Linked DNA regions of Drosophila melanogaster. The protein of the gene in region 1 interacts with the protein of each later gene in a pairwise test. Each region holds a gene or a part of one and is shown in the gene's direction. Other genes may lie near its edges.

Evidence for each region. Proteins that work in one complex are often made in the same cells at the same time.
Region 2: the proteins of temp (region 1) and RabGGTb interact in a two-hybrid assay, tested with the Drosophila melanogaster proteins (2 studies listed by BioGRID).

Annotation. Positions count from the first base shown.
Region 1 is NC_004354.4:2,259,686-2,264,531, reverse strand, and holds temp (tempura), read left to right. Parts: upstream 1-2,016; 5' UTR 2,017-2,495; coding exon 2,496-2,581; intron 2,582-2,677; coding exon 2,678-3,066; intron 3,067-3,116; coding exon 3,117-3,838; 3' UTR 3,839-4,325; downstream 4,326-4,846. Other genes in the region: CG3071 (uncharacterized protein), read right to left, coding at 1-1,475, 1,544-1,636.
Region 2 is NT_033779.5:2,877,379-2,881,382, forward strand, and holds RabGGTb (Rab geranylgeranyltransferase subunit beta), read left to right. Parts: upstream 1-1,733; 5' UTR 1,734-1,885; coding exon 1,886-2,501; intron 2,502-2,665; coding exon 2,666-3,093; 3' UTR 3,094-3,330; downstream 3,331-4,004. Other genes in the region: Prx6a (peroxiredoxin 6a), read right to left, coding at 1-11, 233-425, 486-759; Sbat (sabbat), read left to right, coding at 1,215-1,580; NTPase, read right to left, coding at 3,850-3,942, 4,004-4,004.

The DNA of each region.
Region 1 (4,846 bases):
GGATGCATCTTAGGTGTCTTTGTCTCCACATAGGTGGGCTTATGGGCTACCTCGCTATTGTCCATTGAAATCCCAATGAGCATATCCACAGCACCCTTCATCCGCATCAGCTCGGCGGTGAGCCTCACCTCCTCCTGCATTGCAAGTGACAATCGTTGCAAGGCTTTCATCAGCTTCTGGCTGTAGGCCACCAATCGTTGCTCGAAGACATCAAGGACCGTGCTCGCGGCCATCATCAGCGGGCGCATGAATCGCACCTCGCCCAAGTGGTTGCAAATGAAGTCGATGAATCGGACAAGCGCTGCCTCATGACGACCCGTGAGGGCTTTTCCCAGTGATCCACGGTGCAGAAGGTCCGTGATGACAGCCACAATGAGCTCCGGCTGGTATTGCATCTTCTGCGCATTCATCACGTCGTCCAAAGCCTTCTTGTGGTTAAACTGGCGCAAGTGCACATCGTAGGATTTCAATCCAGGCCCCTTGACGTGGTCCTTGATGGTGTGATCAACCTCTTGGGTGTTGTTCGTGCGTTTCGTACTCACGAAGTACTTTCGAGCGCGATCCGCACGAATCTTTTTCAAATGACTGGGCTTGCTGTCTACCATCATGCGACGAATGGAGACTAGACCATCGACCATTCCAGCCACAACTGCTTGATCTCCGTCAGCAACAGCCATGCTGACCACCGCATTGGGATAAGTCAATGTGTGCACTGTTTTGTAGGTGCTCACATCGTAGATTTTCACGTGCCTATCGAGCCCGCCTGAGAGCAATCTCCTGCCATCGGATCCCAGTCGCAGACAAGTTACTGTTTTGTGATGCTGCGACATCATGGTGAGCAGACGGCAGCCGCTGATGAGATCCCATACGCGCACCTGGCTGCCGCCGGCGCTGACGAAAATAGAGCCGTTCGGAAGGAACAACATGGACTCCACCGGAGCTCCGTGATCTAAGGTGCGCTGCACCGCCGTTTCCGCTCTCGTATCGTACAGTTTGATCTTGCCATCGTAGCCGCCGGAGACGAACATATGCCCTGCCTGCGGATGCATGGCGCCTGCACGAACGTAGTCGGTGTGCGTGTCCTCGTACGTTTGCACCACCTTCTCGTTTGCCACGTCCCACAGACGGACCGACTTGTCGTCTCCAAAACTGGCTAGCTGCAGCTTGTCCGCCGTAAAGAAGGTGCGGTGTACTGGTGCCGTGTGTCCCTTGAACAAACGCAAGATGTTGCGACTGGTGGTGTCGAATAGCTTGACATGGCCCTCCTCGTCGCCGGCGGCCAGGAGTCGACCATCCTGCCGGAAGGTGGCGCCGTATGCGGTCTTTTGGAATCGGGAAAGGTTCTTTACCACAAGCATGGTCACCAGGTTGTAAATCTGAACGCGCACCGAACAGGTCACAACAAAGTTGTCAGGATCGCTTGGACTGAAGTCCAAATAATCGATGGTGTTGTGCTCCTTGAGTAGTTCTGGTTTCTGTGGAATGCAGAGGGGAAACAATGATTTGGTTGCCGAGCCTCTCTGCCTAGTCCTATACAACTCACCGCCAGTCGGTCCCAGTACACCGTATCCGGCGTTTCCACCTGGGCCCGCTGTCGAAAACGCCGTGTGTTCAGTGGAAGAAAGGAGTTCTGCATCCTGTCTGTGTATTTCTACTAAATCTCTTTCGGGCGCGCACGTGTTAGATGGGAAGAGTGTGACCAGCGGAATGTAACAGTGGTGGCAAACATTTTGGTTTTTAGCCAAATCCGCGTGCACACAAATACGGAGGTGCTCATTGAATTCAATAAATTTTCTTAAATATCTTAATCATTCTGCTATCAACTGTTTATTAAACGCATATACTTAAGAAATAATTCCGTTAATACTGAAAAAATATATGAATGTAGCAAATGTACTGATAATACTGACTGTAGAAAAAAGGAAAAAAAAATTGAAAAATTCTAATGTCCCAGCTAATGCCTGCTTTCAATAGCCATTTTCCCGACAGTTGGTTCTGACGTCGCGGTTAGTAGGTTATCGTGGCAAGTGCCTCCTCTGTTGTTGTGCACACCAAACACATGTTTGCAAACAAACATATGCTCACCGTCGCCAAAAAAAGGGAACACATTTCCGAGCTTGCGGACCGATCCGCCGGAGAACCGCGCTTTGGGGTGAACCAGATTGACAGCCCCTCGCACTGGGCACTGAAATAATAATAATAATAAAGGCTAGATCTCGTGTCCAGGCCCCGGCTTAATTGAAATTTATTTGTTGTGATGCGGCCGCCTTTGGGGGTTCCATAGTCGCGTAGACAGGGTTCCAGCCTCCGCCATCTTCTCCTCTTCCTCCCCTTTCCAAATCTTAATTAACCGGAGACATTGAGCATGTTCATATTAATTGGAGGCAATCAATGTGCCTGAGACCCTCGAATCGAACGGAACGGAAGCGAGATCCCCGAGGAAGCAAAAACCACATCCCCATTGAAATTCCACGTTCGGACTATACTCAAATTCCATGGAGGAGGAACGCAACGAGAAAAAGGTGCTCTGCGAGAAGATCATCAGGGACATCAATGCGGTGTTCCTCAAGGATCAGGATCTGTGAGTCCAGCATTTAGTTCTACTATAGATCTAATCAGACTGTTAGCAATGAAAGCAAGCCTTGATGTCCGAATATATTGTTCTTTTCTCCACCAGCGCCTCCTTTGAAATTATACCCAAAGAAGCCAACTGCAACAAATCGCCGGTTGTGCATGTGGAGCACAATCTGGGCCTGGAATCGTGGTGTGCCCAGCATGTCTACGACCACGCCCACCGCACCCTCATCTCCCATCGCCGTCAAACCACGGCGCAACAGCTGCGGACGCTGCAGCAGCAGCAGCAGAGCGACTCCCTGGCCAAATACCTAAACGTGGCTCTGCTGATTAATCCCGATGTGACCACCTTTTGGCACATCCGCCGTCAGCTGGTGCAAAAGAATCGGCTGAGCATCAACAAGGAGCTGCAGTTCTCCGCACTCGTGCTCTCAATCAAACCGAAGTCCAATGAAGCATTCGCCTACCGCCGTTGGCTGTACTCATTTCAAAGTAAGTGGACGTCGGCAACTGGGGATCCCATTTCATTCCATTATTTCCAGGTGCCGATGCTATTGACTGGCCCAATGAGATCGGGATATGCGAAAGGGCCGCCGATAGATGCGCCAGCAACTATCACGCCTGGTCGCACCGCCAGTGGATCCTTCAGAACGGCCCATGCCTGCTGCAATCGGAACTGCTACGCACGGAGAAGTTTATGCGGAAGCACATCAGTGACTACAGCTGCTACCACTACCGCCAAGTGCTCCTGAGTCGTGCATATGAGCTCAGTTTTGCCCTTCCCAAGGATTCCGGAGCCAGTGGTTCGTCTACGTTGGCCAGTCTGCAGCATCTAATGACAAGCTATGGCCTGGAATGTGAAGCCAACGCTGAGGATCTGCTGGGTCTCTTGCTACCACATGTGGATCTGAGTTCCGTGAGCAAGCAAAGGCTAATATCATTTCTTTACTGCTGCAACGTTGCCGCCAACGATATGCGTCTGTGTGCCGAGCAGCGCTTGATGTACGGATCGCGGGATTGCTTCGAGCTGCATCGCCGTGCGGCACTCAAGTTCATCGTGGAGCAGTGCGTGCGCCTGCAAATGGGCTTGCCCAATGGCCAACTGTTACCAGTGGCGTCAGGCGATCTGCGTTCGCATTTGGGCAACTTTGACTTTGAAGATAATCCGTTTTTAAGTGCCGTACGGCGCGAGGAGTCCACCCTGGGTGGTAAGCACCGGCGGTGGTGCAATCTTCACCTCAGCTTTGGATATCCAGCGGACTAGACAGCGCGACCTGATAAAGCTCAAATCAATCTACCCCAATAGAATTACTCACTCCCGGCCTTTCCGTTTGCCCATCCGTTCTGAAATGTGGCAAGTGTATAAAGACGTGTGTTTTATTTCCTATCTAATTATCGTCCCAAAAATACAGAAACTTGTGCAAGACAAATTGTTAAAGAGTAAAATACTAGAAAGGAAGACGATTCAAAACGGATTTGGAAACGGAAATGCCTCTATTCTACTCTACTATAAATGTGCGATCCAAAGACAAAGTTCAACTAGCCCGATATGACAACGGATCTCACTGGTCCGCCAATTGCATTTCGATATCTATTAGCGTTACCTGTTCGTTTCTGTTCTTAATCTGATCCGGGCACGATTTGTTAGCCCTTTGTTCAGAAGTAAAACTTAACCGATTATCGCCATGCCATGCACGTGTTTGTTGTTAGCCAATTGCAGTTAGTTTTTAAATAAATCCAAATCATAGACGACGCCTTTTTTATGCAGTTTTGAACGTCGAGCCAGTTCGGCTCGTTCATTTCGAGAATATCGATTCGGTAATGGCCGTAATGAGCACTCAAAATGCATTGTATGGGGGTTTCTTTTGCGCAGAGCAGTTGTAATATGGGATGGTATCGTTTTGTGGCGGTGCAGCCACAGCCATGACATCCCATCCCTTCCCCGAGTGAACTGGGGATTGTGGGGTAACGAGTATCGATTGCGCATGCCTGGGATGCGAGGTGGGATGTGCGAGATGCTGCCGAAGGCCTGAGATGACAACAATTTCAGCAGCGGACTCAGAATCGCCAGGCCGTAATCCCTACCAGCTTTTCAGTGTGTTTCTGGAGCAGTTCGCGTGCGGCGGTGTTTTGTGGAGTGTTGAGTGGCGAAAGTGCTGGCTTCTTTGAAGGCTTACAAACAATTTGTTTCCGACTCGTCGAAAAAAAGTGCATTCCAGTCAACCGAGAAATCAAAAGTAATAAACAAAGTATATTATTCGATTTTTTTTTT
Region 2 (4,004 bases), on another chromosome or scaffold:
GAAGGATTTCACTGCAAAGGATATAGTTAAATGTAATTTGTCGGATTAATTGACCTTGAAATCGTTCCTATTTAACTTCCATTATTATATGCAAGGTTAGTACTTAGTTTTCAGCAATAATACTTCATTAAATAATTATCTGCTAATGCGATTAAGTGCACGATTGTTTGCTAAAGTGCATTACAGCATTACTTTATAGATAATGATGAATGCTAGATATTGGAATACCCACTCAAAGTTGCGCCCAGTGGTGGCAGGATACAGGATGGACAGGCGAAGCTTCTTCTTGTCGTCCACCACGAAAACGGCGCGACAGGTGAGGGGAATGCCCTCGGCATTGATCTCGTCCTTGTCCAGCATATTAAACTTGAGCGCCAGTTCCCTTTTGTCGTCCGCAATGATGGGATAGTCAAAGGAGCTCAGCTCTGCGAACAGAAACGCCAATTAGAAGCGATTCCTGTCCAGAAATCAGTGACCAAACCCACTGCCAAAGCTCTTGATGTCCTCGATCCAACCCTTGTGCGACTCCACGGTGTCGCAGGACAGTGCAATTGGCTTGACTCCACGCTTTTGGAATTCCGGAATCAATGCCGCCACCCGGGACAATTCCGTGGTGCAAACCGGCGTAAAATCCGCCGGATGGGAGAACAGAATGGCCCAGCTGTCCTGCATCCAGTCGTAGAAATCGATTCGACCCTCGCTGGTCTCAGCCGTGAAGTTTGGGAACTGATCGCCAATGTTTAAAGCCTTTCCGGACATGGTGGATATTTGAAAAAATCAAGAGACGAATTACGAGCTTTTTGGATAAATGCGAAACAAAATTTGCCGCAAAATGCAAATCAGCTGACTGGGCTAGGGTGCCCGTTACCTTTATAAGCTCAGCTCGACCAGGGATGCAAATATAAAAAGAACTAGTTTTCGTATGAAGATGTTAAAAAGAAGGCTCATTGTGTGCATTCATTTTGCAATCATTTCCTTTAAGTGTTTTAAATCTAAAGTATTTTCTTTGACACAAGCAAACGAGTGTTTCGTATATTTTCGAATTTATGAGCTCAAAAAGTGAACCAGTGAACCGAACCACTTACACGTGCTTGCATCCCTGGCCATTACTCATACACACGCACACTATATCACACATACGCGCAGTGTAAACACAAAAAAAGCTGAGAATTTCTTGCATTTATTTGTTTAAATTGAGCAAAGAGGATATAACCATGACAGAACTGAGCATCACTGGCCAGCAGGTGATGCCCCCGCCCGCATGCACACCACCGGAGCCCTTCCGCATCACAACGAACGCCCCGCACCAGATGAACGATGCCAGTTTGACGCCGGGACGCAGGAAGCTCCAGAAGTGGCTGGGTCGAGTTCTTCGGATCGTGATTACGGACGGACGCGTGCTGGTGGGATTCTTCAACTGCACGGACCGCGACGCCAACATCGTGCTGTCCATGTGCGCCGAGTACTTGGTGGAGGGCCAGGAGCCGCGCCTGCTGGGCAACGTCATGGTTCCCGGCCAGCACATAGTCTCCCTAAGCATCGACGAGCCGGATCCGCAGTCCAGCCTGCTGGTGCAATAGTGTGCATGTGTTTTGAATAAAATAAACTAGCTATTTGAAATTTAAGTACGTTTAATTTTTATTTTTGGATGGGGTTATAGTAAACCCCTCCACACTACGCCCCTGCGTCGATCAGCTGTTTGATAAGCCACTGCCGCGTTGCCAACCATCGCGCAGATGAATCAGCTGTGCTCGATTGGATTCACTGAGTTATTTGTTTGCTCGCAGCACTATTCCTGCCAATTAATAGAGTTAATCAAGCGAAACAGCGCGCCGAAGAGGATCTGCCAGCCACCCGATACTCATTCAATTGAGCCCAATCAGCGATGGACTTCACGACCTTCGTAAAGCCCTCAAATGGCGGTGGCGACAGCGGCGGTGGTGGTGATGCGGATGGCGGCGGCCAGAAGCTGCAGTTCTGGAAGCATGTGGAGTACATCGAGAACCATGGGAAGCAGGAGGACGACTACGAGTACTGCATGACCGAGTTTCTGCGCATGTCGGGCATCTATTGGGGCACCACTGCCCTGGACATTATGGGCCAGCTGGAGCGATTGGAGCGCAAGTCCATCATCGAGTTTGTGAAGCGTTGTCAGTGTCCGAACACGGGCGGATTCGCACCCTGCGAGGGCCACGATCCCCACCTGCTGTACACCCTGTCGGCCATCCAGATCCTCTGCACCTACGACGCCCTCGAGGAGATCGACCGCGAGGCGGTGGTCCGATTCGTGGTCGGACTGCAGCAGCCCGACGGCAGCTTCTTTGGCGACAAGTGGGGCGAGGTGGACACCAGGTTCAGCTTCTGTGCGGTGGCCTCCCTAACGCTGCTCGGCCGCATGGAGCAGACCATCGACGTGGAGAAGGCGGTCAAGTTCGTGCTCTCGTGCTGCAATCAGACGGACGGTGGATTCGGTTCCAAGCCGGGCGCCGAGTCGCATGCGGGTGAGTCACCACATCGCCTGTCATGCTTTCGCCCTCACAGTCAATATCATTTCAATTTAAACTTATTAATCTTCTGGGAACAAAAAGTATACTAGAAAAATAGCTAGCCATAAAGCTGGTGCTCATATATGTTATCCAAAAACTAATCTACATATAACCCGCAGGGCTCATCTACTGCTGCGTCGGCTTCTTCTCGCTGACCCATCGCCTGCATCTGCTCGACGTGGACAAACTGGGCTGGTGGCTCTGCGAGCGGCAGCTGCCCTCCGGTGGGCTAAATGGACGGCCCGAGAAGCTGCCGGATGTATGCTATTCGTGGTGGGTGCTCGCCTCGCTCACCATCATGGGCCGCCTGCACTGGATCAGCTCGGAGAAGCTGCAGCAGTTCATACTGTCGTGCCAGGACACGGAGACCGGTGGCTTCTCGGACAGAACTGGCAACATGCCGGACATATTCCACACGCTGTTCGGCATCGGCGGACTCTCGCTACTGGGACATTCCGGCCTGAAGGCCATCAACCCAACGCTCTGCATGCCGCAGTACATCATCGACCGGCTGGGCATCAAGCCGCAACTATTGCCGAGGCCATGAGGGGATTCATCGATTCCACATGCAGCCAGTGCGTAGCCAATGTGTAGTGCAGCAGACCTCTGACGTATTCCCACGCTAGCGTTTCTTAGTTTTATTTGTAAAAAGACCAAAATTCCATAGCAGGAACACCCTTTCTTTACTCATTTTCTTCGTTATGCATTTACCCCTCTATTATTATTAAATATAGAATATTTTGTATAGCGAACGAAAATCAGCAATAAACAAATATTTTACTTTAATTCAGATCAGTTAACATTTGATTTATTTGCAAAGATAACTAAACTAACATTTGCATGTGTGAAAAACCGTGTGAAATGTTTGCGGCTAGTAGTCTAGGTCGTTATACATATTAGGTAAATACATATCATTGTGTAAATTTATGTACATGAGGATACGATACGAGTGTAGGGACTAATTAGTTAAGAAGTTGGCAAAAAACTGCATTACAAATATGGCGAATCACACAAAATTGGAATTACAAACTAAACGCTAAGTGTAGTCACCGTGTATGGGTTAGCTCAATTAGAGGCAATTGAAACGAATCTTGCAGAGCACAAACAAATATTAATCGACCACATCATACATATGCTGTGGACAATGTCCGAGTGTGTGTTCTGTGTGTGTGTGGTGTGTGCGGTGTGTGCGGTGTGTTGTGATTGTAGTATACTCGATGCACGTCTAAGGCACTCTATAAACAATTTCAGCTAACAATCCGTTTAAAATTTATGTCTTCAACTACGGACTAATGGAGGAGCATTAGGAATTACTGAATTTCTCGTCGCTAGTCAGAACGTTGTATGCACAGCCGAGGGCCCAGGAGATTTCGTGGCCATCTATCTTCTTGTAAAGCTGCACAATTTAAAACGAGTTACTAGAGAGTTCAATTTGTGTTAAGTGCGCCAGGACTCACC